Macaca fascicularis: one gene and its partners. The protein of the gene in region 3 interacts with the protein of the main gene of each other region in a biochemical or structural test. Links are inferred from orthologs where the notes say so. Each region holds a gene or a part of one and is shown on either strand. Other genes may lie near its edges. The genes, in order: TRIM32, UBR5, UBE2E1, IPO11, RNF167, NEDD4 and UBR7.

What was found.
Region 1: the proteins of UBE2E1 (region 3) and TRIM32 form a complex in vitro, tested with the Homo sapiens proteins (2 studies listed by BioGRID). The link is inferred for Macaca fascicularis from reciprocal best matches to the Homo sapiens genes UBE2E1 and TRIM32.
Region 2: the proteins of UBE2E1 (region 3) and UBR5 form a complex in vitro, tested with the Homo sapiens proteins (2 studies listed by BioGRID). The link is inferred for Macaca fascicularis from reciprocal best matches to the Homo sapiens genes UBE2E1 and UBR5.
Region 4: the proteins of UBE2E1 (region 3) and IPO11 form a complex in vitro, tested with the Homo sapiens proteins (2 studies listed by BioGRID). The link is inferred for Macaca fascicularis from reciprocal best matches to the Homo sapiens genes UBE2E1 and IPO11.
Region 5: the proteins of UBE2E1 (region 3) and RNF167 form a complex in vitro, tested with the Homo sapiens proteins (3 studies listed by BioGRID). The link is inferred for Macaca fascicularis from reciprocal best matches to the Homo sapiens genes UBE2E1 and RNF167.
Region 6: the proteins of UBE2E1 (region 3) and NEDD4 form a complex in vitro, tested with the Homo sapiens proteins (7 studies listed by BioGRID, with this or other methods). The link is inferred for Macaca fascicularis from reciprocal best matches to the Homo sapiens genes UBE2E1 and NEDD4.
Region 7: the proteins of UBE2E1 (region 3) and UBR7 form a complex in vitro, tested with the Homo sapiens proteins (2 studies listed by BioGRID). The link is inferred for Macaca fascicularis from reciprocal best matches to the Homo sapiens genes UBE2E1 and UBR7.

What each region holds. Positions count from the first base shown.
Region 1 is NC_088389.1:41,394,280-41,398,509, forward strand, and holds the start of TRIM32 (E3 ubiquitin-protein ligase TRIM32), read right to left. Parts: upstream 2,820-4,230; 5' UTR 2,771-2,819; exon of another isoform or gene 2,489-2,770; intron 1-2,488. UniProt on the Homo sapiens protein: E3 ubiquitin ligase that plays a role in various biological processes including neural stem cell differentiation, innate immunity, inflammatory resonse and autophagy.
Region 2 is NC_088382.1:111,905,485-111,909,214, reverse strand, and holds part of UBR5 (E3 ubiquitin-protein ligase UBR5), read left to right. Parts: coding exon 1-112; intron 113-581; coding exon 582-673; intron 674-1,818; coding exon 1,819-1,965; intron 1,966-2,068; coding exon 2,069-2,187; intron 2,188-2,270; coding exon 2,271-2,397; intron 2,398-2,489; coding exon 2,490-2,619; intron 2,620-3,486; coding exon 3,487-3,647; intron 3,648-3,730. UniProt on the Homo sapiens protein: E3 ubiquitin-protein ligase involved in different protein quality control pathways in the cytoplasm and nucleus. Mainly acts as a ubiquitin chain elongator that extends pre-ubiquitinated substrates.
Region 3 is NC_088376.1:24,547,858-24,552,080, reverse strand, and holds the start of UBE2E1 (ubiquitin-conjugating enzyme E2 E1), read left to right. Parts: upstream 1-1,305; 5' UTR 1,306-1,437; intron 1,438-2,591; 5' UTR 2,592-2,624; coding exon 2,625-2,776; intron 2,777-4,223. UniProt on the Homo sapiens protein: Accepts ubiquitin from the E1 complex and catalyzes its covalent attachment to other proteins. Catalyzes the covalent attachment of ISG15 to other proteins. Mediates the selective degradation of short-lived and abnormal proteins.
Region 4 is NC_088380.1:67,935,260-67,939,738, forward strand, and holds the start of IPO11 (importin-11), read left to right. Parts: upstream 1-1,459; 5' UTR 1,460-1,612; intron 1,613-4,479. UniProt on the Homo sapiens protein: Functions in nuclear protein import as nuclear transport receptor. Serves as receptor for nuclear localization signals (NLS) in cargo substrates.
Region 5 is NC_088390.1:5,062,175-5,064,454, forward strand, and holds the end of RNF167 (E3 ubiquitin-protein ligase RNF167), read left to right. Parts: coding exon 1-10; intron 11-879; coding exon 880-951; intron 952-1,041; coding exon 1,042-1,122; intron 1,123-1,198; coding exon 1,199-1,500; 3' UTR 1,501-1,710; downstream 1,711-2,280.
Region 6 is NC_088381.1:32,300,694-32,304,423, reverse strand, and holds part of NEDD4 (E3 ubiquitin-protein ligase NEDD4), read left to right. Parts: intron 1-150; coding exon 151-205; intron 206-295; coding exon 296-354; intron 355-1,673; coding exon 1,674-1,739; intron 1,740-3,730. UniProt on the Homo sapiens protein: E3 ubiquitin-protein ligase which accepts ubiquitin from an E2 ubiquitin-conjugating enzyme in the form of a thioester and then directly transfers the ubiquitin to targeted substrates. Specifically ubiquitinates 'Lys-63' in target proteins.
Region 7 is NC_088381.1:161,207,736-161,212,223, forward strand, and holds the start of UBR7 (putative E3 ubiquitin-protein ligase UBR7), read left to right. Parts: upstream 1-1,615; 5' UTR 1,616-1,651; coding exon 1,652-1,801; intron 1,802-4,170; coding exon 4,171-4,304; intron 4,305-4,488. Other genes in the region: EKC/KEOPS complex subunit GON7, read right to left, coding at 1,190-1,397. UniProt on the Homo sapiens protein: E3 ubiquitin-protein ligase which is a component of the N-end rule pathway. Recognizes and binds to proteins bearing specific N-terminal residues that are destabilizing according to the N-end rule, leading to their ubiquitination and subsequent degradation.

The DNA of each region.
Region 1 (4,230 bases), on a different chromosome or scaffold from region 3:
GAGTAAGGAGTTTAGACAGGACTGATTGAATTCCCATGACATATTTTCTTTTAGGGATGTGCATGGATATTCCAGCTAAGTCTTGCTGTCAGATACAGTCAAGTTTTGTTTCTGAACTGGCTTCAGCAATGCTGTAGCTAGTCCTGGAAATGATAGAGCCAATGCTACTATTCTGTTCCAGGGAAAAGCAGTCCAAAAGAGACCATACACAACAGTAGTTACTCTCCTTCAAAGTATGACTGCCTTCAGCCTCAGTCCCTGCTGTGCCTTCAGCCTCAGTCCCTGCTGTGAGGTTTTTTTTTCAAGCCAACAGCCTCCATACCTCACCCCATAGTCCGCTGCACCTCATCCTGCCTGATAACTTCAAGCTCCTCTCCTTATCTAGCCCCTGGTCTTGGTCTAAGAACAAACCAAGAACAAAGTCCAGGGCTCCTCCCAATCTAGTCAGAGAGATTTATCCCCCAACTTTAGAGTTCAATCTGATAGTCAGTGATTCTCACTGGGCAATCCTCGTTTTCATTAGAGGGGAATGGGCTGAGAAAATAAGACTAAGCGGGTCCTAGCAAGGAAAGTGGGAAAATACAGAGTTACAGAGATCTGGGTATGAGCTTAACTGTGTCATTCCTAGCTATGAAAACTTAGGCAAGTCACTTCCTAAGCCTTAGTTTCCTCATGTGTAAAACTGAATACAGTCCTTAGAAGGACTGTCATGAAAACTGAGTAAAGAAGTAGATACAAGACTAAAAATTACTAGACTTTGAGAACTTACTATGTGCCAGATCCTAGGCATGCTAATTTACTTCACTAAATCCTCACAACAATTCTGTGACATAGGTCCTGTTATCATAACCCCATTTTACAGATGAACAGCCAAGGCACTGGGTGGTAAGTAACTCATTCAAGGCCACAAAGTCAGGAAGAGATAGAGCTAGGACTTGAACCCAGGGTATCTGATTCTAGGGCAGAGTGCCTCAACTTTGGCATTACTGACATTTTAGGCAGGATAATTCCTTACTGGGGGGGAGGGGCTTATCCCATGCATTGTCAAATGTTTAACATTAACATAAAACATTATATTTAATGTTTAATCTACCCACTTGAGGCCAGTAGTATCCCCCACCCTAAGTGTGACAACCAAAAAACATCTCCAGACATTGCCTAATGTCTCCTAGGAGACAAAGCCACCCCTGATTAAGAACCACTGCTTTACAGTCTAGCACAGGACTAAATGCTCAATACATAAGGGTTCCCTTTTTTTGTTGTTGTTTGATTTTTTTGTTTTTTTTGTCCCTCTCCGAGCCCAAACATCTCACTCACAGAGCCACTGCCCCTTCAAGCTGCAATGGATCTTATATAGGATAAATTATTCCACTCATTCCCCTGGAGGTCTCACATTCTATCTGCTATGGTAGCTTGGGAGTACAAGGAAAAAGGGCTTAGGCAGATGACCTTGAATAGTTCCATTTCTTCTTCCCCAAAGCCTACCACTTTCAGTGGACCGGGGGAGGGGGAGGGAGAAGGCGGTGGTCAGAGTGTAGTTAGTGGCAATACCATACCTGCCTTATGATAACGGATCTTTGTTTAATAAATGAAGAAGATTCTACCCTTCACAGGGATTACCACACTCCTTCAGGATATCTGAACTGAAGATTTATCACTTTGTTCCTGAACACCTGAACTCTGCTCATCTTCATATACTCATCCAGAGTTTCATACATTACTTTTAGGTCCTTGGGTCCCCTAAACTCCCCCCGTCTCCCATGCAGCGATTTAAGGAAAATCTCTTTAGCAGCCCAAGACACCAATCCACATATCTACTCAGTGTCCTTTGATTCTATAGCCCAGTTAGGACATCTCCACCCCACGATTCAATCCTCTCCAAACCCTGTCCTCAACCCTCTTACAATACCAAATTCCAATCTTTGGGGCTGTATAACGCAACCCTCATCAATTCCTCACTCATATGCCTCAAATCCCTCGGACACAGATCCTTTAATCCCTATTTCCAAATCTTTGCCGCACTCAGCTCCGCACCTCAGTTCAACGCCCTAATTCCTCACTTCAGATTTCTGCTCTCCCTCAATCTGAACCCCCATCTCCTGCATTCCATCAGGCACTGTGCCGCCCTCAAACCCTGCTCCTTCCTCTTATGCACTGAATGTCATGTGCTGCCTTCACAACTCAGCCAGCTCCCTTCTTCCTGCTAACAAGAGTCCCCCAAGAACTCACCCCACCCCCTCTATCTCACCCTCAGCCCACTCCGAAAGCCCTTTCTCAATAGCACTTAGAATCGCCCTAGACCTTGCTCCTATCATCTTACACCCTATCCTTGCCAGATGCCTAGCGCCCCCAGATTCCCTCAAATCTCATCGGGGCCCCCCAGTTCCTTCATATTTCTGAAATTCTGCACCCAGGTCCCTCCAGGGCCCTGATTCCTTCCCATCTCCCACATGCTGCACCCCGTTCCTCCTCAGGGCCCCCACATTACCTCATACCTCCCGAGATGCTGCCACCGCATATCTCTTCAGAGCCCCTCGCTCCCCTCCCCCAGCTCCATCTCCGCGGATCTCCTCAGCCCCACGAATCCCTCCCGAGCCTGCCCCTGGCAGCCCCACCCCCACCCTAGTCCTGCCCCTCAGATCCGGTCCCCAGACCCTGCCATTCGGGCGCGGCCGCTGCACGCCGGCACGTTCCCCCGACCGGCCGCTGAGCCACGGCCCACGACTTCGGCCGCGGTCCCTAGTCCCCAGCCCTCCTTCCCGCCCCCTACCTGACCGCCCGCAGCTCCGACGAGTCCACCGCCGCCAGCCCACCCGCCCGCCGTCCTCTGCGCACGCGCCGTTGAGCGCCCTTTGCCGGGCGCCAATTCGCAGAGCTCCCTGTCCGTCACTGAGCCCCGCCTCCCGAGGCATGCTGGGGCTTGTAGTGCAGCGGGCCCCAGCGCGCGGGGCCAGGCGGCCCTGCAGGGGTGAGCTTTCCTCTGAGAACCCGGGGCCTTAGCGACACGTAATCCAGTGTTCCGTCGCCTTTGTGCAGATGAAGAAACCGAGACCCATGGGCGAAAGAGACCTGCTCAAGTTCACTCAGTAAGTCAGGAGATAAGCCAGAATGCGTATCTGACTCCAGTCCAAATGTCTACCCTTTCACAAAACTGTAGCCTCCAGGGTAGTCCTCAACAAAGCGTTGGCACCTTGCTGAATCTGTTTTTCCATCTGAGAAATGGGCCAACGGAAGAATCAAACTTCCATTCTGGGGAGGTCGAGAACCGGGACTCCCTAGGAAGGGCAGTGCTTTGGCCCCATGTCCTGTGCTCTGATAGAGCGCTGCACTAGAGACAAGTTTATCCATGAACACATTGCTCTGTAAAGGAACGTTTTGCCTACTCAGCTGGGAGGCCGACAGCAGAGGCAGACATGGGGAGTACACGCTGCAGCCCCTGTCCCTGCAGGCTGAAGGTACCCGGGAATCCAAACCAAGTGTAGTTTTGGGGAGTCAGAGGTGAAGGTGGAGGAGTCTTACCAGTTGGGAGGTGACCTGGCCTGAGATTTGAGGGAATCTAGGGCACTAGGCATCTGGCAAGGACGAGGTCTGATACAGGACTGACTAGCCACGACCTGCACTCCCCGAAGTAGTTTGGGGCCAATCACCTATTCTCCAAGGTGATTATACTGTACAGCTTAGGAGCACAAAGGAGTTTGAAGTAGGATGGTCTTGGATTTGAAATTCCCCTTAGCTATGTGACCCTGCACAATGATAAAACAGTAACCAAAAACAATGACTAACATCTTTGAACACTTGCTGTCTGGCTACAGCTAAGGACTTCAGGTGCATAGCTCACTAAATCCTCATAAGGACCTCATGAGATAAGGCAGCTGATGGTTAACCTACACCTAACAAGGCCACCTGTGCCTAAGTATTGGCGCCCAGATTTGTACCCAATTCTATCTGAGAACCCACTCTTAACCTTGTTTACTCTTTCTCCCCATTTTCTAAATTTCTAAGTGAAGTTTGCCAAGAAGATAAACCAAGATTATGGTAGTTTGTACTTAATGATAACTATATTTGAAAAATTGCAATTAGCAGGTAGGGGATAAGGGAGAGGTGGTGCCAAATGATTTCTCACTTAGACTAGTTAGGGAGACTTTGCACTTGTTTTTTTTTTTTTTTCCCTGAAAACCAGAGTTATCAGCCCAAAGTATAAATTTAGGACTGTTCATAGTCTTACACATA
Region 2 (3,730 bases), on a different chromosome or scaffold from region 3:
CATGGGAATGGTTTGCCCATCAGGTACCAACCCTGATGACTCTCCTTTATATGTCTTATGTTGTAATGACACTTGCAGTTTTACATGGACTGGAGCAGAGCACATTAACCAGGTAAGTTATTTTTACATTTTCCTGTATTAATCATATCTTTGTGTCTTTTTTCCCTATGACTATCACTAGACTTAGAGTTTTCAGCTTTGGAATTGTTAAGTCTGATATGAAGAAAGTTGATTTAATTCCTAAGTAAATGAGGCAGAAGAGCTGATTGCTCAGTTAAATATGGCATACCATGAAAAGTGGAAATTTTCACTGGGTAGTATAATCTGATCCGCAAATCTTGATACAGATTTTATAACTACAGTGCCTTTTTGGGGATGATACAAATTATTTTTTTCAACTGGTAATATTTCTATTTGTATATTATAAACTGTGTATTTGCTGTAGCCCTTTATAAGTCCTAGTTTTCCAAAGCACAATAATTTTGAGATTGAATTGTTTTAGAAAATACCAGAAATGATAATTATGATGAGATATACGCATACTTATAATTATTCCTTTAAAAGTACACTCTTAATTTTAGGATATTTTTGAGTGTCGAACTTGTGGCTTGCTGGAGTCACTTTGTTGTTGTACGGAATGTGCAAGGGTTTGTCATAAAGGTCATGATTGCAAGTGAGTACAATTCTAGTTTTCTTTAGTTTAATATTATAAACTGTTTAGATTTATATTGCTGTATGGAAATCGATAGTCATGTTTTAATTTAGAAAGCATGAGGTTATGTTTCTCTTGTTTAAGTCAGTTTATGTATAATAATGTGATTCTTGATTTAAACTATACTGTGAAATGTTTGGTTTCTTTGCTAGTTCTAACATTGCCCTCCTTAAATAAAAGTAGGTGATTATACATTGTAACTAGGATCAGATTAGTATTTTGAGAAATATATCTACAGAATGTTCCCGAGTGTATTATGCAGCAGAGGTCTCAGGTGCCCTGTAGCAGGGTGTACTAGGAGAAAATTGCCATAGGCCTGGAGGGAATCATGGTGAATGTTTGGACTGTGTCTTTCTTAAACTAAATGCAACAATCTTTCATTCAGCAACAGTTACCACAACTAGTTTTGTTGGTTTTCACAGACCTGAGAAGCAATGAAATACCTAGCACTAACATCTGTGGTGTTTTAGGATTATGGATAGGGACTTCAGTATAAATGGCTACAAATGTTATAATAGAGAATTGGACTGTAAAAACCATCTACTATACCATTAAGTAATTGTATAGGACAAGTGAAAAATTTTAATAGATATTGCATTGCTTATTTATAATTTTTGTTAAAAGAATTCTGGTTGGTATTTTTGTCTTCCTTATTTTAAGCACCTAAAAGTGTGATAATCTGTTGTTATTGATTGTTTGCCAAGGGTACTAGATGCCAGGGTGGTGGTGGTGAATAGTCCTGACAGTGTTCCCAATCCTATCAGAGGCCACAAGCAAGAAATATCTGCCCATAGAGTTATAGGGTTCATTAGGTCATATGGGAGGACCACTTGAACTGGACTGGAGCGGTGGGGAATTAGGGAAGAAATTCCAAAAGTGGCTATACCTTAGAGTACCTCTTCTCATAGGAATTCTGTGTTGGTTTATAAATGTCATTACTACCAAGTAATCCTTTTGTCATATAAGCTTTGACAGTTATACTTTGCATTTAGGAATTAACAAGGGCTCTCTCTGGTTTCAGTGAGTTATACCTTCATAATGTCAACATAAACCTTTGTATGTTTAAAAACTTTCAGTTTTTGTACTTGTGTATAAATTCTCTATAGACTCAAACGGACGTCACCAACAGCCTACTGTGATTGTTGGGAGAAATGTAAATGTAAAACTCTTATTGCTGGACAGAAATCGGCTCGTCTTGATCTACTTTATCGCCTGCTCACTGCTACTAATCTGGTTACTCTGCCAAACAGCAGGCAAGTAGGATTTTTAGGACTTACAGTAAGTTAAATCAGAAGAGCGCAGCATACCTGAGTAGCTTTTCGGCCTCCCTTCTCACGACAACATTCTATTTTGCAGGGGAGAGCATCTCTTACTGTTCTTAGTACAGACAGTCGCAAGGCAGACGGTGGAGCATTGCCAGTACAGACCACCTCGAATCAGGGAAGATCGTAACCGAAAAACAGCCAGTCCTGAAGGTGAGTAAATTAGACATTTATGACACTTGTGGGAAGCAATATGTTTTATTTTTGTTTTGGTCACTATTTCTTTTTCATTTTAGATTCAGATATGCCTGATCATGATTTAGAGCCTCCACGATTTGCCCAGCTTGCATTGGAGCGTGTTCTACAGGACTGGAATGCCTTGAAATCTATGATTATGTTTGGGTCGCAGGAGAATAAAGACCCGTACGTATTCATTAAAACCTTTTTAGCTTTATGTATTTCCTACATTAGTGTAGACCTTTTACAGTTCATTCTGTTTTTCCTCCCTCCTCAAGTCTTAGTGCCAGCAGTAGAATAGGCCATCTTTTGCCAGAGGAGCAAGTATACCTCAATCAGCAAAGTGGCACAATTCGACTGGACTGTTTCACTCACTGCCTTATAGTTAAGTGTACAGCAGATATTTTGGTAAGTTCTTTGAATATGTATTGCAAGTACCTGAAAAGTATGCTTTTAAAGTACTCTTCTTTGCTGTGAAACTAGGAAAGAATTTAAACCTCAAGATCCAGTGCTAATGAGGTTATGGTAATAACACACTCAGATAGGGATGGGGTGGGATTGCATCTCTTCTTCTCTCTGGAAAGCCATAAAACTATCAGTGCCCTGAGAACCTGTCATAAAGAAATTTACAATATGAGAAAAATAAAGGCATGTCACAGAATAATGTAAAATTTAAAAACAGAAAAATACTTTTATCAGCCCAATAATAGTGTAATCTTGAATCAAATTATAACCTGACCACTTACTGGAATGTGATGAAGTAATTTAAAAATAAATCTTATTGTAAATAACATTAAAAACAACAACCAAACTATGAAAATTGGGTGTTTTCTGTAGCTAATATTTATACAAGAAACTACGCACAGAAAAGAGACTAGAAAGTAACAGGGGTTCCGTGAGGGAGAGATGGGATTATGAATTTATTCATATGAACAGTTGAGTCTGCCTTGCTGTTTTGGAAAGTGCCCCAGACTGAGTTAAACATATTCTTCCTCTGATTTGATATATTTGGTATTGTTCTTCTAAATATTAGTTGATATACCGAGGACTATGGGACAAAAAATAAGAAATCATACATTTAGGAATCACTATATGTCAAGCACATTGGCAGGTATATTTCATAAATTGACCTTATAAATGTTTTGGTTAAATTTGTTTTGAGGTTTTATTATGAAATGTTAATGCTTAAAAAACGTTAGAACTTATAACTTTATGAGTGTCTAAACATCGTATAAAATATCTTAACATTAATAGAGTGAATATAATTTTGTAAAGCTTTTAGATACTCTACTAGGTACACTAGTGAAAGAACTCCAAAACAAATACACACCTGGACGTAGAGAAGAAGCTATTGCTGTGACAATGAGGTTTCTACGTTCAGTGGCAAGAGTTTTTGTCATTCTGAGTGTGGAAATGGCTTCATCCAAAAAGAAAAAGTAAGGCATCCTTTTTGATTTTGGCTTGGATACCATTTTCACACAGTTTTTGTGATAGCAATTTATGTATATGAAGAGATAGA
Region 3 (4,223 bases):
AAGCAGTTCGGCTGGGTCGTGAGAATGCTTGTTTTCCTGGTTACTGGATATGCCATGGGCGTATATCTTGTGTTGTCCTGTAGTAACTGAAGCCACTGTTGCGCGGAAAATGATGGCAGTTTGAATGAGATAATTTAGAGTGAGCTATGGAAATCTGAGGCTGTCTCCTTAATGTACAAGACCTTGTATGTGTGGCACTGGTGTATCTGAATGGCACACATCTCTTCAGTTCCCTTCAACTGAAATGACAAATACGTGAGAAACTAAATCGTAATTTGACAGATTAATATTAAAAAAACAAATTTGGCAAAAATGCTACATAAGGAACAATTCAGAAGAACTGCTGATCATTTCAAAAATATTATTTGAATAGCATTTATATGTAGCTAACGAAAGCACTGCGATCCCCAGAACTTTCCATCCAATTTCCAAAAACCAAACCTTGTATCTAATGTAAAATGACACCAAAAATTCTAAATCCAGTCTAATTCAGTAGTATATAGCTTATACCCAGTGATTTCTCACATTCGCAAGCCCCGTTACACGTTGGTTTTACCTGTCACCAAAACCTTTGTATCACTCTTATAAAACCACATCACTTTCTATAAAAAGTGACTGGAAGAATCTAATATTGTAAAACTGCACGTGCCTCGCGTGACCTGAGCAGAAAATTCCTGGTTTGGGATTTTCTCACAGGCGTGCCTAAACTGACCTCTGCTCCTAGCAGGTAAATTGCTAGAAGGAGAAGCAAGTGTCAGTCCAAAGAAAACCCCTGTTGTGTGATTTTTTTATTCTCTTTAATCGCTTTTTAGGTGGAGTTCCCGCTGCATTCTCTAAAGTCTTTGCCACCACCAGATTACCATCTTTTCCACCAATTTGCCACCTCCCTACCCCTCTCCTTTCCAAAAGCCCTCACTGGAAAGAACTTTCTCTCGTGACCCCCCTATTCCATCCAGTTCCAATCACTCCCAGCGACCCCATCTCCATTGGCTTCCCCTCTCCCGCCCAGAATCCAGGTTCCCAAACCACTTAAGAGAAAATTCACACCCCTCGCCCCCTTCCCGGGCGTCCGGAGGAGGCGCTGGGGTGGGGGTGTGGGGGGGGGCACGGTTTCCTGGGGTCTCCTGGGTCTTCCTCGCGCACCCCCAGGAGGTGTTGCAGGGGGAGGGGAGCGAGGGTGGGTGGGACCGGGCCGGGTGGGGGAGGGGTGAGGGCGAGGAGGAGGAGGAGGAGGAGGAGGAGGAGGAGGAGGCGGCGGCGGCGGAGGAGTGGTGTGTGTGCGAGCGTGTGTGGCTGGGGGAAGCCATTGCCTGTTTAATAGTTGCTGTTGCTGCACTTCCGCTTCTCTCCCAGCGAGAGAGACACGAGTGGCCAGGCCCAGCCGCAGCCGCAGCAGCAGCCGCCGCGGCGGCACGGAGGAGCCAGACACAAAGAGAGGTACGGGGATCCCCCCAGCGGCCCGCCGCCCCCCGGCCGCGCCGCCGGGCCTCGGGGACACCCCTCGCCGCCTCCCCCGACTCGCGCCGCCGGGGCCGCCGGGCCGCCGGGCACGGGGCCGGAGGGGGGAGCGGAGAGGGGCTGGGGAGCCCCAGGGGTCCGGGGCCCGCCCGCGGGGGATGGGCAGGGACCCCGGGCCGCTTGGGGTGCGGGGGCCGCCCGCATCGGGGGCGGGGGTCATTGTGGCTCGAACTGTCAGCGCTGCCCCAAGAGCCCCCCACTGGCCACCGAGGGGGCCGGGAGCGGGGGTGGGGGGGAGTTGGGGGAGCCCCGTTTTCCCCAGGGGCGGGGGCTCACGGGGATTAACCCCTCCGGGGCGGAAGGGCTCATTGTTATTTCTTCGCTGCGGAGGCCGACCCCCCCCCCACTCCCCGCCGCAGCCCCTATCCCCCTCCAGGAGTGGCGATCGGGCGTGTGCTCCGGACCCCCTCCCGGCCGCGCAGCCGTGAGCGGGGCGGCCCAGAGGCAGGCAGGCCGGGAGGGGCGTCGGGGCGCGGCGCGGGGGGGCCTCGGGCCTTGTCGCCCGTGCCCCCCGCCGGCCTCTCCCTTCCCCCACCCGGGCACCCGCTCCCCGCCTCCGTCCCCCTGTTTCGGCTTCCTCTCTTACTCCTTCCCGCCCCTCCTCTCTTCCCGACCTCGCCAAACTCCTCTCGTGGCCCCACAGTCTCTCACCCGGGCCACCGGCCCCCCACCCCACGACCCCCGGAAAGCGGACAAAAACAGCCCCGAGGCCGGCCGGCTGCCGGGACCTTCCCTCCCTGCCCCGCCGTGGCGCCCCGCGCCCCCGCCCTGCCCTCCTTCGCCTCCCGGGCTACTCCCTCCCTGCCCAGCGGAGAGCCCCGGGGGGCGAGGGAGGGGCCGCTCTCCTAGCTCCAGACCGTTTTCCCACAGCGTTCCCCACTTGGGGCCAAAAATAAACAAGCCGCGTCCGATTTGCAAAAGCCTTAATGGGCCTGCAGACTTTGAAAAGCGAGTGGAGGGCGGTGGGCGGCCGCGTGCGCCCCTGGTCAATGCCCTCCTGACAGCACCTGAGTTCCTTATTTACACTGGCTGCATGGTTTGTGTGTTTCTGTTTTGTTTCCCTCCCCCTGCAGGGGCTGTTTGCGGGGTGGGGTGGGGGGTTCGCTATGTCGGATGACGATTCGAGGGCCAGCACCAGCTCCTCCTCATCTTCGTCTTCCAACCAGCAAACCGAGAAAGAAACAAACACCCCCAAGAAGAAGGAGAGTAAAGTCAGCATGAGCAAAAACTCCAAACTCCTCTCCACCAGCGCCAAGAGGTACCGTACTCTTTTTTTTTTTCCATAGGCTTCCTATTTTCCGAACTGCCTCTTGCTGCATTTGGTCTGCCTCCCAATGAGGATAGCTTAAACGCTCCTCATGGTTTATGTGTTCTTAAAAATGAAAGAAGGGCCTTGGAAGCCCTAATTATTTTCTCTATTGCTGCTTCTGTTTTTTTTTTTAATCATTGCTCACATGCAGCTATTGTGGCTTGCCTCTCGCATTTCTTGCTGAAGTTTGTAAGAATCTTCATTACTTTTATTAGTGACCCCCAAATCTGATTTCAGATTTCTTGTCCTACTAATGGTCGATCTGTGACCTTCCCCAAGGCCATCATCCCATTTCTTAATTACTAATACCAGCCCAGACAACTGCATCAAAATGAATTCTGTGACCATTTTACCTTCTCCTCACCTGTTGCATGGATGATCTTTTCTAAATAGAGCTTTCTTCACAAATTGCATAAGGAATAAAACTCGTATTAGCAGGTACAAAATTGAGTAGGTGAAGACGTGTTTTATGGTGGAATTTAAAGAGATTTTTCTGAGAGTTGAGGCAAATGAATGAATCAGTAAGTGATTATAAAATAGTTATTCTAGGTTATTTTTGTGGTTCTCTTTTGTTCTCTTTAAAAACTTCAGTTTACCAAATTTCAGGGAAACTTGTCTTTTTTTCATGCTATTTGCTGTCCTCATGCTGTGAAAATGTTACGTTGCTTTATTTTTTCAATTTAAGCAGTCTCTCTTTTTCTTTATTCTTTTCCTCTTAAGGCTCTGGAGGTAGCTACTTGTTACTCCTGCCATCCTTCAGTAATATCCTCTGATCGCCATGACCCTTAAAATAATCTTTAGTGGATTCCTAGGAGCCCTGAGACACCCTTTCATAAATCCTTCTGCTATCAGAGTTAGGCAGTTGTTAAAAAGGTGGCAAACCAGGAAGATAGTAAGAAGTCCAAATGATGGGTTAGATAGGGATACCCGTCTTAAAAATTTTTAAAATAAAGTGGAACATGAGACTTTAGATCTCTCCACTGAGTAGTGAGCCTGAAAGTCAGGGTTTGAGAGTTTGTTCTGTCATTTTGCCTGACTTGTAATTTGAAAACTTGGCAGTGTTTTGGTGACCTAACCATGAGCTGATGAATGAGTGACTTTTTAAAAATAGTGTGGAGGTCTTAAGTGGCAAGGTGCCTCTGCAAGATTGTTCTCATTTTTATAGGTTTGGTTTGATTGTACAGCTTCTCAGGAGGCCTAACTGACCCTCACTGATTAGCCCTGTGCGGTTTTCCTGGAACCTGGCATCTACTCTGCCCACTTGGGACAGGCCCTTCCTTAACACTGCCCCCCACCTCAATCCTCTAGGCTCTTTGATCCTCATTCACTTTTTGGCCTCACGTGCTCAAGCCGGGATACTTGCTTTTGGTAATTTGCATTTTTATATTTTGCTGGA
Region 4 (4,479 bases), on a different chromosome or scaffold from region 3:
ATAAATAATTCCCATAAAGATCTTAAAACTGTACCTGGAATATTCTAAATGAGCAATAAAGGTTTTCTATTATTAATCTTTATGAACACTCTACTATTTCCTTACAACTTCTCTTATTATTATTATTATTTTGAGATGGAGTTTCATTCCTGTTGCCCAGGCTGAAGTGCGATGGCATGATCTCGCCTCACTGCAGCCTTTGCCCCCAGGATTCAAGTGATTCTCCTACCTCAGCCTCCCGAGTAGCTGGGATTACAGGCCTGCACCACCATGCCCAGCTAATTTTTTATATTTTTAGTAGAGACAGGGTTTCTCCATGTTGGTGAGGCTGGTCTTGAACTCCTGACCTAAGGTGATCTGCCTGCCTCGGCCTCCCAAAGTGCTGGGATTACAGGCGTGAGCCACTGCGCCTGGCCTTATAATTATTATTTTTAAGAAATATGTAGTTGGTGTGTATTTTTAATTAATTTGTTTATTTTGAGATGGAATCTCTTATTTATTTATTTATTTTGAGACAGAGTCTTGCTCTGTTGCCCAGGCTGGAGTGCAGTGGAGCAATCTTGGCTCACTGCAACCTCTGCCTCCCGGGTTCAAGCGATTCCCCTGCCTCAGCCTCCCGAGTAGCTGGGATTACAGGCGTCCAGGCTAATTACTGTATTTTTCGTAGAGATAAGGTTTCACCATGTTGGCCAGACTGGTCTCGAACTCCTGACTTCGTGATCCGCCCGCCTCGGCCTCCCAAAGGGCTGGGATTACAGGTGTGACCTACTGCGCCCACCCCATATTATTTTTGAAATGGGTGTGTGTGTGAACTCTCTATATGTCCCAGGCTGGCTTCGAACTCCTGGGCTCAAGTGATCCTCCTGCCTCAATATCTGGAGTAGCTGGGACTACAGGCACGCACCACTGCGCCTGAGTAAGTTCTCTTTTTGAGGATAAGAACATTTAGGTGACTATGCTAGCTTTTAGCAGAGGCAAGCAAAACTGGATTTATGTCCTTTTATATTTTTCCACTCTTTCTATTACTCAGGAGTAAACAGCAAGCAATTTGGGTAACTTAAAAAATAAACATTTGCGGGAGGGAGGGTGGACTGATGGGAGTAAGATTCTTTAAATAACTCTTCTCTGCTGTGACGGATCCGCAATTGATATCTAGAATAGAAAGCGTGAAATGGTTCTGATTGAAGCTTCAATCAACCCGGGAAACAATTGAGCTCCCTGGGAGTGGGGCAAACCAGACCTATGGTTTCCATGGTGACAGAGCCGGCTAGTCCGGACTCCCGGCTCTTTATACTGCGCAAGCGCTCACAACTGATTTGGCTACCCCGCGCCTTTTGGTTCGAAGAGAAAGTCCCTCCTTCCCCTTCCCACCGTTCGCCTATCGCCCTCGCTCTTTGCTAGTCGCATGCGCGCTGGGCTCCTGTGACGTAGTTTTCGCGCGTCCGTGTCGTTTGGAACCGCGACGCTAAACATGGCGTGTTCCTAGAAGCCGCTTTCGGCATCAGTAGGCGGCGGCGTGGGGACTGGCAGCGTGGGCGCGGGACCAACCGACGCCACTTCGTGTTGGGAAGTGGGAGCGGGAGGGCCGGGCAATTCCCGACCGAACCAAACGGTGAGGCCCCGGCCCTAGAGCCACAGAGCGCGCGGGAGTGGAAGGGAGTGGGTTGGGCACCCGAGACCCGAGAGGCGAGGGAGGAAAGTGGGGCTACCGGGAGGTGAGGGATAACGGTAGCGAGGCAAGGGCGGCCTGCAGACTTGGCTGTTTGCGTAACCTTAGGAACCCCGGGAACTGGGGGCTGGCCGAGGAAGCCCGGGAGTGGGCAGCATGGTAGCGGAGCAATCAGGGTGCGAGCTGGGAGGGACAGTATGCTAGGCTAAGCAGAGCCGAGTGTACCCATCGTGGCCGCGGTTGCGGACCTGGGTGATGTATTTGCCCTTGGGGGATAGGTGGTGCAAAATTTGAGATAAAGTGGTTATCTCGATTATAAGACCGTTGTGCATTGTTACTGCGCACACGACCTTGTTGCTAATAGCAATAGTGTGATAGCTTTAAACGTTTGACCCTTACGTGCTTTTAATGAAAGAGGGAAGGTAGTTGTCCATTTGTAGAGAGGAGCTTCATGGAGAGGTATGGCCGCCAATTCTCAAGCTCAGCGACTCCTGCAGATTTGTATTTGGGGGTATTTGTGATTCAGCAAAACTACTTTTGCTCATTGCTTGTGTCATTTTTTCTTTATTATTTTGTGACATAGTGGTTAATGAGAGAAGTACTCCTATCTGAAAGTGATTTGACTAAATAGCAAGGACTGGTAAATAAACTACTAGTGCCAAGGTTGCAGTTGACATACCTCCTCCCCTCCATAATTTAAAGGAGCTCAGTTATAGTGCGGTAGTGCCCTTCAGATTTCGGTTATTCTTCAGAAGGAAGTAAGGAAGAGCAGTTTGCAGCCATAATGCTTTCCCCCCCTCGGATAGGAATTTTCCTCCTCCATTTTCACGTTATTTCAAACTTCTCTGTTCAGTAGAGAAGCATCAGATTAAGGGCAGGGTGACTCTTCTATAGGAGACATCCATTGCATGACACATTTTACATCTTTCATTACTGAGAAAAATTTCGGTGAAATTAGAAAAATTTTCATTTTCCCTTTTGGTTATGATAGGACTGGTATTTTCTCTGTTTCTGCAGTAACCTAGCACAGGGTATAGTAGAAACAATTATAGTAATGGTTTGTGGCCATATGTTATAGCCCCAGGGTAGGAGGGTGGTCTCTGCCCTAGTCGCACTTCCTAAGGCCAAAGAGAATTTTCACCACAAACACATTTGGCTGTGGTAATATGTTAGATGTTTTAAACAGATGTGTAAAGATTATCTGATCATTAATAGAAAAATCATCAGATTTTGTGATGTTTGAATATATTTACATATGAATCAAACCAGAATGCAGCATGATCCTTGTAGGCATGTGGCTATTAAAATACACTGAAGATTTTTCCAGAAACAAAATTTTTTTTCCCAGCAATAAAAATATTCAAATTTTGAATAAAGTAATGTTTGATAATTTGGATTTTGACCTTTGTGTTATATATTTGTACCTATGTGTGTGTATGTATTTAACCTCACTTCTAATTTAGTGTTATTGATGGTAATATTTTTTCCTTTCTTTATCAGCTTCAAATAGGGACTTAATTTCAGAGCATTTAAGGAATGGCAAAACACATTTAGTGCAAGTGTGAGTCTGTAGTGTCTTTGGTTTGCCGACTGTCAGGCTGATTACAGATAAGTACAGTTATAAGCTTTGTAGAGCTTAAGTTGCATCAATGTTCTTTACCCTTGCTACTCAAATTGTGTTGTATAGCATCACCTGGGAGTTTATTAGAAATGCATGATCTCAGGCTCAATCCAGAGCTGCTGAATCAAAATCTGCAATTTTAACAAGATCTCTAGATTAAAGGAATGTTCAATAAATCTTGAGATGCACTACTTTGGTTGGTAACAGTTGAAGAACACTGAAGTAATGCACAAACCTGTATAAAAATTTATGGCATCATTTATTTTAATCTGAGGTGATCTTACACTGATTATCCAGTCTGATGAAACTGAGGCCCAGAAAGGTAAATGCCTTGCAAAAGGTCACACATACCTAGATTTATAACCCAGATTCCAACTCATCCAGTGCTTTTCTTTTGCTGATTACTATCAGAGCTTGTTATATTAAAAATGAACTAAAATTCATGAATGACAGGTGTTCATTCAATAACAAACGTTTACTGGGTACTGGACAGCCAGCCCAACAATACTGTGTGTCCCTGCTACGTGCTCCTGTTTATCATGGTGGCTAATAACCCACCACCTTTCCTCTTTATTTTCTTTGAGATGGGGGTCTCACTGTTGCCTAGGCTGGAGTGCAGTGGTGTGATCTCTGCTCACTGCAACTTCTGCCTCTGGGGTTCAAACGGTTCTCCTGCTTCAGCCTCCAGAGTAGCTGGGATTACAGATGCTTGCCACCAAGCCTGGGTAATTTTTGTATTTTTGGTAGAGACAGGGTTTCACCATTTTGGCCAGACTGGTCTTGAACTCCTGACCTCCTTAAACTCCACCCACCTCGGCCTCCCAAAGTGCTGGGATTACAGGAGTGAGCCCGGCCCGCTCTTTACTCTTTTTTTTTTTTTTTGAGTTGGAGTTTTGCTCTTTTTGCCTAGGCTGCAGTGCAGTGGTGCGATCTTAACTCACCGCAACCTCTGCCTCCCGGGTTCAAGTGATTCTCCTGCCTCAGCCTCCCGAGTAGCTGGGATTACTGGCATGTGCTACCGCGCCCAGCTAATTTTGTATTTTTTGTAGAGATGGGGTTTCTCCATGTTGGTTAGGCTGGTCTTGAACTCTCGACCTCAGGTGATCGCCCACCTTGGCCTCCCAAAGTGCTGGGATTACAGGCGTGAGCCAACACGCCTGGCCCCCTCTTTACTCTTTACTGGTTAAAG
Region 5 (2,280 bases), on a different chromosome or scaffold from region 3:
TATCAGAAGGGTGAGGGGTTAGGGGAGGAGAGGGTTTTTCCCACCGTTTACCTGGTTCTGAAGGACTTTGAGCCCAGAAGATAGGGTATACAAAGATGGCAGTGGCTGGGCACAGTGGCTCACGTAATCCTAAGTGCCTGTAATCCCAGCACTTTGGAAGGCCGAGGTGGGTAGGTCGCTTGAGCCCAGGAGTTTGAGACCAGCCTGGGCAACATGATGAAACAAAAAAATCCCACCACTTTGGGAGGCTGAGGCAAGTGAATCCCTGGACCCCAGGAGTTCCAGGCCAGCCTGGGCAACGTGGTGAGACCCCATCTCTATAAAATATAACAAAAATTAGCTGAGCATGGTGGTGTGCGCTTGTAGTCCCAGCTACTTGGGAGACTGAGAAAGGAGAATCACTTGAACCAGGAAGGCGGAGGTTGTAGGGGGCTGAGATTGCACCACTGTGCTCCAGCCTGGGCAACAGAGGGAGTCCCTTTCTCAAAAAAATAAAAGTAATAAAGATGGCAGTAAGAAATTTTCAGCTTGAGATGCTGTCTTGTCTTGTTTTTACCCATAAATACAGTGAAGATGGGAGAGATGTAAAGCAAAGATGATTAAGTGAAATAATTGTGGGAAATAATAGAGGGACAGACTTTGCTTATGGGGGATGTGGAGAGCAGAAAAATGGGAGGAATGGGGGAGGATTCAGTTAGAGAAGGAAGAAAGTGGTACTGTGGGGCTGGGGCTTTAGGCCCTGGGGCCTCCAGTGCCCGTATAAGGCTATGGCAGAAGCTCTGCCCATTTCCGTCCCTTCCACTCCGTATCTCCACCCTCACACCTCCCCAAAAACCACTTCCCTTCTTACCTCTGCTTCTCTTTGCTTGTCCCTTTTAGCCCTAAATTCTTCCATGTTCTGCCCTGACCTTATCCTGCCTACCTGTCTTAGCTCTTCCACTGGCTTTGTAGGTGAGGGAAAATTTTCGCAAGGCTTTAAAAGCCTTAGCCCTGGGTCACGATGGCTCAGTGAAGGACTAGATTATTTTCTTTCTGTCCCAGGAGACCAGTATGATGTCTGTGCCATCTGCCTGGATGAATATGAAGATGGAGACAAGCTGCGGGTACTCCCCTGTGCTCATGGTGAGGCCCTCACTGCCTGCCCATGCCCCTCTGCCACTGGCAGCCACCAGGTGCTTCACCTTGTTCCTCTCTGCAGCCTACCACAGCCGCTGCGTGGACCCCTGGCTGACTCAGACCCGGAAGACCTGCCCCATTTGCAAGCAGCCTGTTCATCGTGGTCCTGGGGACGAAGAGCAAGAGGAAGAAGCTCAGGGGCAAGAGGAGGGTGAAGAAGGGGAGCCAAGGGACCACCCTGCTTCCGAAAGGACCCCACTTTTGGGTTCTAGCCCCACTCTTCCCACCTCATTTGGTTCCCTAGCCCCAGCTCCCCTTGTTTTTCCTGGGCCTTCAACAGATCCCCCACCCTCTCCTCCCTCTTCCCCCGTCATCCTGGTCTAATAACCCTCTACATGTACACTTCTGGTGACCTATTTGCACAGACCGTCTTCTTCCCTCCAGTCTTCTAAGTTGAGGGATAGGGGACATTCCATCCTAAGTTGCTCCCTTACCCACACCTATCCTTTTGAGGGGCATTGGGGTGGGGCTGGGGCAAGCAAAGGGACTGGGTCTTCACTTCTTGGGCTAATAAAATTGTTTTTTGTGGACTAAGGAAGGGTGAGATAATTTTTAGGTGAACTTAACCCTTTGGGGGAATCACCCCTTTAGCCATAAGGAGCAAGAGAATGCTGAGACACTAACCTATAGTCATGGGGACAGCCCCAGCAGGCATTTGCTATGACTCAGGGGGAGCCCCACCCACAAGGATGACTCAACTAGCCCTGCCTTGCCTGCAGGCCTGCACCCATTCTCTGGTCCAGATGGCTCTATTCCATTATCCACCAATTTAACCAGCACACTGAGGACTTAGGCCTGGAAATGCCACTGTGGAGGGGCAGGGCCACCTGGCCAGAAGCTCAAATTCTTGCACCTTGTAGTACCTCAACCTTCCTGCTCCCAAGCCATGATAAAGGAGGCAAGTCACAGTGCCTGTCCCCCATTCTGACACCCAAGCTCAAATCACACAGCACCTTGTTAGAATCTTTTTTATTCAGAAAAAAAAAAAAAAAACCCAAAAAACAAAAAAGTTTTCCAACCACACACAGGAGGGGTATGGGTAGGGGGAGTTGTCTGTCCATCCAGCCCTGGTCCCCAGCCCATGTGGTTTTGGCAGCAATAAGG
Region 6 (3,730 bases), on a different chromosome or scaffold from region 3:
AAAATAAAAATAAAATAAAAAATTTAAAAAGGTCGATACCTTCTAAGAATCGAATGGAATATGCAAGTTAACCATACAACCAGTGCTGTTTTTCTATCCATTCATCTAAAACCCTATCCTAACATAATTGAAATACATTCTTCATTATAGCCAGGATGGGAAGAGAGAACTCACACAGATGGAAGAATCTTCTACATAAATCACAGTATGTGCAATGCGATTTTTCGTTATGTTATTTTTTGTAATAAATTTTATCTGTGAGAAAGTACACCATTTTTCTTTTTCTTCCCTTCAGATATAAAAAGAACACAATGGGAAGATCCTCGGTTGCAGAATGTAGCAATAACTGGACCAGTAAGTCTCTCTGTGCTGATGTGCTCTGATGGGACTGTCCCCTCACCTGTCTCTTCAAAAGCAGATACTCAAGGGCATAACCCTACAGGCATTGAGAGGAAAGCACATTGGCCATTCTGTCTCCTCTCCCCCATTTCCCATACTCCAAGTCTCAGTTATTTGAAAAGATTCTATGACGTCATTATCTTTACCCTATGCAATAGCAGTGGGAGACAGGTGAGCCAGACAGTCGGAATGCTAAGGCAGTGTGGGCTGCTGAGCTCAGGTGGGTGCCTGCCACTGTCTGAACAAGAATGTTGACAGTCCTCCACAAATCAGAGAGGAGCAGAGAGTGTATCCAGATGAGGAAGCAGCAGCACCCTATCCACTCCAGGGTCATTCTTAAATTTTTTTATAGAAATCAGGCCAGGCTCACACCTGTAATCCCAGCACTTTGGGGGAGGCCAAGGCAGGTGGATCACCTGAGGTCAGGAGTTCAAGACTGGCCTGGCCAATATGGTGAAACCCTGTCTCTACTAAAAATGCAAAAAATATTAGTTAGGCATGGTAGCAGACACCTGTAGTCCCAGCTACTTGGGAGGCCAAGGCAGGAGAATCACCTGAACCCAGGAGGCGGAGGTTGCGGTGAACTGAGAGATTGCACCACCACATTCTAGCCTGGGTGACAGAGCGAGACTCCATCTCAAAAAAAAGAAAAAGAAATCATTGTAAATGCCCAGTATGTAAGACACATCCACACTTAAGTACAAATATACCATATATGATAACTGTAGTCAGATAGGAAAATTATTATCCTTTTTTATAGCTGCTTCTTCCATTTTATTCAGATTTTGTTTTGTAATTCATAAAAATAAAACTGAAGATACCTTTTTTTTAATTACTATTTACTATCTCAACATGTAGTCCTTTAATGGCTCAAAAAGGCAATTCCTTGGAGTTCAAGGAAAAAGTACGCTTTTCACATTGCCTGTTTAATGGAGAAATCACTTTGAAAGTCTCTTTAGAAATGGAAATTTTTGTTTCTAGTATTTCTCTACCTGGAAGAAATTTCCTATTTCTGGCATGCTGCATTTTGAGAATATTGCATAATGAAAATTACAGCCATAGGAATTGCTGAATATAATTTTGTCTTAAACAGAGAAATTAAATATTTTAAAGTTTTGTATTTGTTTTTCTTCTAATTAAACTTTTCTTTCCAAATATTTTTCTTTTCATGCCCTTAACTTATGTTCATAAAATACCCTGCCGGGAACTTTAAAAATTGTTCCAGAATAAAAACAACCTAAACTTCTTTATTTTTCCAAAATTTCCCACTAAAGGCAGTGCCCTACTCCAGGGATTACAAAAGAAAGTATGAGTTCTTCCGAAGAAAGTTGAAGAAGCAGGTTAGTGATGTTTGTGATAAATACTTGAGTCATCAATATATAGATGGAAAGTAATGGGAAATTTTGTTTAAAGTAATAATTTGTTCTATATTTGTAACAACTTTGAGTGAACAGTTTTTCATAGAGAAAGGATGGTTATTTTTTGTGTAGCTGTGATATATCACTACAGACCACTGATTATTTTATGTCTTTATTTTGTAAGATATTTTATAATATAGAAAAATGGCATTTAAAGTTTGCTTTCCAGAGCTCTAACCTGATGTATCCTTGTGGGGTTTATGGGGCTTGATCTTTGTAGAACCTGAGCAAGAGTGGCTCAGGAAATTATCTTCTGGCATAGTCTTTGACTCTGTTGGAGGAGTCTGGATTTGTTTTATGACTTTGTTGTTTTCTAGCGGTAGTCATTCATTCTCTACACCTTCAAATGTAATGTCTCTGCATAATTTAAAAATACAATCATGAGTGGAACTGTGCTCTTGTGACTTGTCTCCGTATGCTTATCAGTTATGTTCAGTACACTTTTTCCCATCACCACAAATGCAATATGTTTGGAACTAAACTCATCATCTGGCCATCTATTTCATTTCTGTTGGTGTCTGCTAGTTTTAGTGCCTCTTACTTGCTCATCCTGTCCTCCTCTGCCTGCAGTTTAGGAATACTACCACTAGGTGGCCATATTGGGTTATACTTTCTTGCATTCTAAGCCAGAAGCTGGCTTTCACAAAGATTCAAGATGGTGGGTCGGCTACCTCCGATTTTCACCCAGATTTTTAACAAAAATAAAACATGATAGTTTTTTTAGTGTAAACATTTTATGCCCTAATAAAATCCTTAAATATCATCAACTTTCTAAACTCATTTTTAAAGATAATTTTGTGGGCCAGGCGCAGTGGCTCACACCTGTAATCCCAGCGCTTCGGGAGGTTGAGGCGGGTGGATCACTTGAGGTCAGGAGTTCCAGACCAGCCTGGCCAACACGGTCAGACCCCCGTCTCTACTAAAAATACAAAAATTAGCTGGGTGTGATGTTACCCGCCTGTAATCCTGGCTACTCGGGAGGCTGAGGCAGGAGAACCGCTTGAACCAGGTAGGCAGAGGTTGCAGTGAGCTCAGATCACTTCACTGCACTCCAGCCTGGGCAACAGAGTGAGACCCTGTCTCAAAGAAAAAGAAAAAAGAAAAGATAACATTGTGTCAAAATTTCCCTGGAAATTTGTTTTCTACTTCTAGACTTTGGGATTTTAAATATTTGCTGATTCATTGTTCTGGTAAATATTTTCATTCTTAATGAGAATATGCTGGAGGAATAGAAGCACTAGCTTCTCCATTTGCCACTCTAAGTGGTTGAAACATGTTGTAGTATCTAATTGTTAATGTCTTCCAGGCGGCAGGAGATGGGAGGCAATGCCATTACAGGCCACAAAATACAAAAAAAAAAAAAAGATAAAAGCAATTATATTTGTTGATCTCTCACTGCATACCAGGCATTCTTCTTAGAAGTTTACATATGTTATTCATTTAATGTCTACAATAACTCTGTAAGGAAGGGACTACTATTACATTTCACAGATGAGGAAACTGAGGCACAGAGAATAGGTAATGTGATCAAGTCCCATGGTTATTAAGTAGAAAAGCTAAGTGGTCTAGCTCCAGATCCCATGTTCCTAAGCAACATGACATATCATATTGGTGACTAAGAGAATTAAGAGAGAAATTAATTAATTTGTATGGAAATTACCCAGAATGCAACAAAGGTAGGTAAAGGAATAAACATATAAAAGAAAGGGTAAAGACATGAAGTCGGCCAGGCGCGGTGGCTCACGCCTGTAATCCCAGCACTTTAGGAGGCCGAGGCGGGTGGATCACAAGGTCAGGAGATTGAGATCATTCTGGCTAACACAGTGGAACGCTGTCCCTACTAAAAATACAAGAAATTAGCTGGGCGAGGTGGCGGACGCCTGTAGTCCCAGCTACTCAGGAGGTTGAGACAG
Region 7 (4,488 bases), on a different chromosome or scaffold from region 3:
CCACTGCACTCCAGCCTGGGCAACAGAGCTAGACTCCATTTCAAAAAAAAAAAAAGTACCTGCCTATTTCTGCATTCGAGGCAATTTTTAAAAAATAATGCAGTTAAACTTCACGTTTCTACTTTCAAACTGCACCTACAAAACTGGAAAGGCAAGGGAGTCTCTAGGAGTTAATACATGTTAAAATTAAGTCTGTCCCACTCCTTGGAACCTGTTCCTACTCTGCGATAGATTGTACTCTTCCAAATATGTCTGTAGTTTCACACCTGATAAAACTCCTTTTTATTCAATACTCCAGCTCAAAAGTCTTATCCTCTTTGAAGCCTTCCGAGGGTCTCTGGGTTTGCAACACTTACAGAGGGCCATAGAACCACGTTCTTTTTTTTTTTTTTTTGAGACGGAGTCTCGCTCTGTAGTCCAGGCTGGAGTGCAGTGGCACGATCTCGGCTCACTGCAACTTCCGCCTCCCGGGGTCAAGCGATTCTTCTGCCTCAGCCTCCCCAGTAGCTGGGATTACAGGTGCCCGCCACCACTCCCAGCTAATTTTTGTATTTTTAGTAGAGACAGGGTTTCACCATATTGGCCAGGCTGGTCTCGAACTCCTGACCTCGTGATCCGCTCGCCTCAGCCTCCCAAAGTGCTGGGATTACAGGCGTGAGCTACCAGCCTGGCCACTTTCACTTTTAATAAGAGTGTCTGCCTGTATAATCCCCTTGTGTTTCACAAGGGCAGGAACTGAGTCGCATTGACCTCATTCTTCCTCCAGGGCTCAGCTCAGGGTTTGGCAAATAGTAGTAGGCATTCGGCAAGTTTTTTAGTGAAATAAATGAAATAGCGATGAGTCGTGGAAATGTTTGAGTAGAAGCAGCCCAAATATAGTGATAAATGCCAACAATTTTTATTTTTTAAATTATCTTTGAAATAACAATGGAAACGGGGTCTCGATATGTTGCCCTGGCTGTTCTGGAACTCCTGACCTCAAGTGATCCTCCTGCCTCGCCCTCCCAAAGTGTTGGGATTACAGGAGTGAGCCCCACTTCGCCTGGCCCGCCAAAAATTTTTAGATGCAATTCTTCTTTCCTCGAGGCTCACTTTGTCCAAGTCTGCCACTCTACACGGGCTCCCCAAGCCAATTTCCCCTGGCTCCCGCCCCGTCCTCCTGTCGCTGCAGCACCGTCTCAGAGCTCACCGTCCAGGGCCTCGTCTGGAGCCGCCGCCACCCGGTGCTGCACTTCCGCCTGTACCAGGGGGCCGAATAATTCCGTTACCAGCTCCTTCATCTGGGCCACGCCAGACAATAGGCCCTGGAAAGGGTCGCCGTCACCCGGCGCCTCACAGGACACCCGCAGCTTCTGCGGCTTCCCTTCCTGCCCGACATACTCTCCCAGCAGCTCCATGGTGACCACTAAGCTTCCAGAACACGACACCGGGAAGCGCCACCCGGAGGCGGAAATCAGCCCGTGGCCTGCGCAGGCGGCAGAAGGGAGAGGAGTGACATCCGTTTGTCGGAAGTCGCTCCTCCCCCTTCCTTCGCCTTTTTTCCTTGTCATTGGTTCCTGGCACTCGGGCCCCGCCTCCTCCGGCTACGCCCCTCGTGGCCGCTTTTCCCGCCTCCGCCGGGGCCGAGCCGCGGTTCGGGTGACAGTTGAGGATGGCCGGAGCCGAGGGCTCCGCTGGGCGGCAGTCGGAGCTGGAGCCCGTGGTATCGTTGGTCGACGTCCTCGAGGAGGACGAGGAGCTGGAGAATGAGGCGTGTGCTGTCCTGGGCGGCAGCGACTCCGAGAAGTGCTCCTACTCGCAGGTGGGCACGCGGCCCGGGCCTTGTCTCCCGCGGCTCCCGCCGAACCTCCCCTTCCCGGCCCGGCTGTCCCTATTCCCGCCTGCCGCAGTCGTCTCCCCAGTGGTGGTCCGGGGCCGCCGTTAGTCTGCCGCTTCCTTACCCCAAGCCCACCCTTCCCTTTTATCCCCAACCTCCTGGGCCCCCTTCAGCCTGTGTCCAGCAGGGGCCCCCATCTCCCCTCTCTCTAACTCTGTCCGGCCAGCCAGGAAGGACCCTGGAGCAGCTGCTCTGTCCGTCCTCTCCAGCCTCGTCCTGGTGCACCACTGCTTTTCACGAAACCAGCCCGCGACCTCTCAGATCCAGACATCTTTGTCCCTGCTTTTCCCATCCTAAGATTATTTATTTATTTATTAGGGACCAAATGGGAGACGTCAGGTTAAAGAGATTTTCAAATCCATAGGGATTTGCGGTGAGCTCCTTGACAGCTAGTTCCTCTGCAATTTAGTTTGACAAGTGCTAGCTAGTACTTTTTCTTTCTTTTTTTGGCAAAATGGAGCAAGTACCCATGTCTGTCTGCAGTCTGCCCTCCTCCCCTGGAAATAGACCGGAAACAGAACAGCAAGTGGCTCTGGCAGGGGAGGGGAGAGAGGAGAAAAGGATCTATTTGGCATTTGGAAGACGTTGTGAGTGAGCAAGTGTTTGAGGGGGTGTGATGTGTTTAGTGACTCACCCTATACTTCGAGGCACAAAAATGGAAAAGGATGGGTAGGAAGAAGACTGACAAAGGATAAGAACTGGCAGGAAGAAGGGTTACCGAGGCAGAGGGGTGGATTGGAACACTGGGGAGATGAGAGGAGAGACTTGCATTCATTATGTGGTATGAACTGAGGTCATAATACCAGTTCTCGTTGTTGACCAAGTTTAGTTTACACTGCAAAGTGCTAGATTGTTGAATAAACCTGGTATCCAGACATAGCCCCAGGTACTTTAAAACCTTTGGTCACCACTAAAACAATTTTTCGCCTGCTTTCCTTAAAAAAAAAAAAAAAAGTTCTAAGTCTGTATGTAAACTATTTTTGAAGTGTAGTTACCTTTATAAAATGGATTCCCTTAATGTTTTCTTTTTATTGTGGTAAAAAAAAAATATGGAAATTTGCACAAATCATGTACACAGCTTGAAAGGAAAGTGTGCATGTTCCCACCACCCAGATCAACAAATAGAACATTAGGAGTGCAAAAGGCTTATTGGAAAAGAACTTAAAAAAAAAGAGAAAAGAAAGAAATAGAATTTTACTGGCATCCCGGAAGCCTCCTTGTCTATTCTTCCTCCTTCCTAGAGGAAGGTAACTATACCTATTATACATATTCACTTTTTTTTTTTTTTTTTGAGATGGAATTTCACTCTTGCCACCCAGGCTGGAGTGCAATGTCATGATCTTGGCTCACCGCAACCTCCACCTCCCGGGTTCAAGCGATTCTCCTGTCTCAGCCTCCCGAGTAGCTGGGATTACAGATGCCCGCCACCACGGCCAGCTAATTTTTATATTTTTAGTAGATGGGGTTTTTTAGAGATGGGGTTTCACCACGCTGACCAGGCTGGTCTTGAACTCGTGACCTGAGGTGATCTGCCCACCTTGGCCTCCCAAAGGGCTGGGATTACAGGCGTGAGCACTGCACCCAGCCTACATATTCACTTTTTAACATTTTGTCACATTTATCTCCTTTTCTACTTAAAATTTGTTGTTTTAAAATTTTGAACTATTTAAAAATAAGTTGCAGACATGATGACACTATACCTCTAAATACTTCAGCATGCATCTCCTAAAAATCAAAGAGATTCTTTGCATGTGTTGATTCTCTCTTTGGTGGATTTACAAACATTTTCCAGGATGAAAGTGTGATATTACTTACATAAACCTATACATATGCTCCTGTGTTTTCACCTGTTAAAATGATTAAACAGATTCATTTATTCACAGCCGACTGACAAATTCAGACATCCTATCACTTTAAGAAAGGAGTGCTGACTTGTGTCATGGCTAATGCTTGTAATCCCAGAACTTTGGAAGGCCAAGGCAGAGAACTGCTTGAGCCCAGGAGTTTGAGACAAGCCTGGGCAACATAGCAAGACCTCGTCTCTGCAAAAAATAAATAAATTAGGAAGAAAGAAAAAAGTGCTTGCATGAAAAGCACTAGTATAAAAATGAAACATGCAACACAACTGTGTTTTGGTTGATGCTCTGCTGTGTAAACTTTTTAGTCTTAATGGTTTTTACAGAAAGATCTTGACCACAGATAATCTGATTTTAATTATTTTTCAGTTCCTAGTGTGGGTATTAGGTAAGCCATGCTATTACATTAATTCTCTTTTCCATTTTGGGGGCTTTTAGGGCTCAGTAAAGAGGCAAGCACTATATGCCTGTAGTACCTGCACCCCAGAGGGAGAAGAACCAGCAGGAATTTGTTTAGCTTGCAGTTATGAATGTCATGGAAGTCACAAACTATTTGAGCTATACACAAAAAGGTAAACATAGTCAGAGATTGTTACTAAATGCTTTTGAAGTGTAGATTCTGTCCCATCTACACTTTTTCCTTATCATGTTTTTTCATGCAAAGCTGTTGTACAGTAGTGAAATTTCATGTAATTATTTTATATAATTGGAGTTTCCAGAGCCTTTAAAAACATAATATGGTACAAACTCAAACTA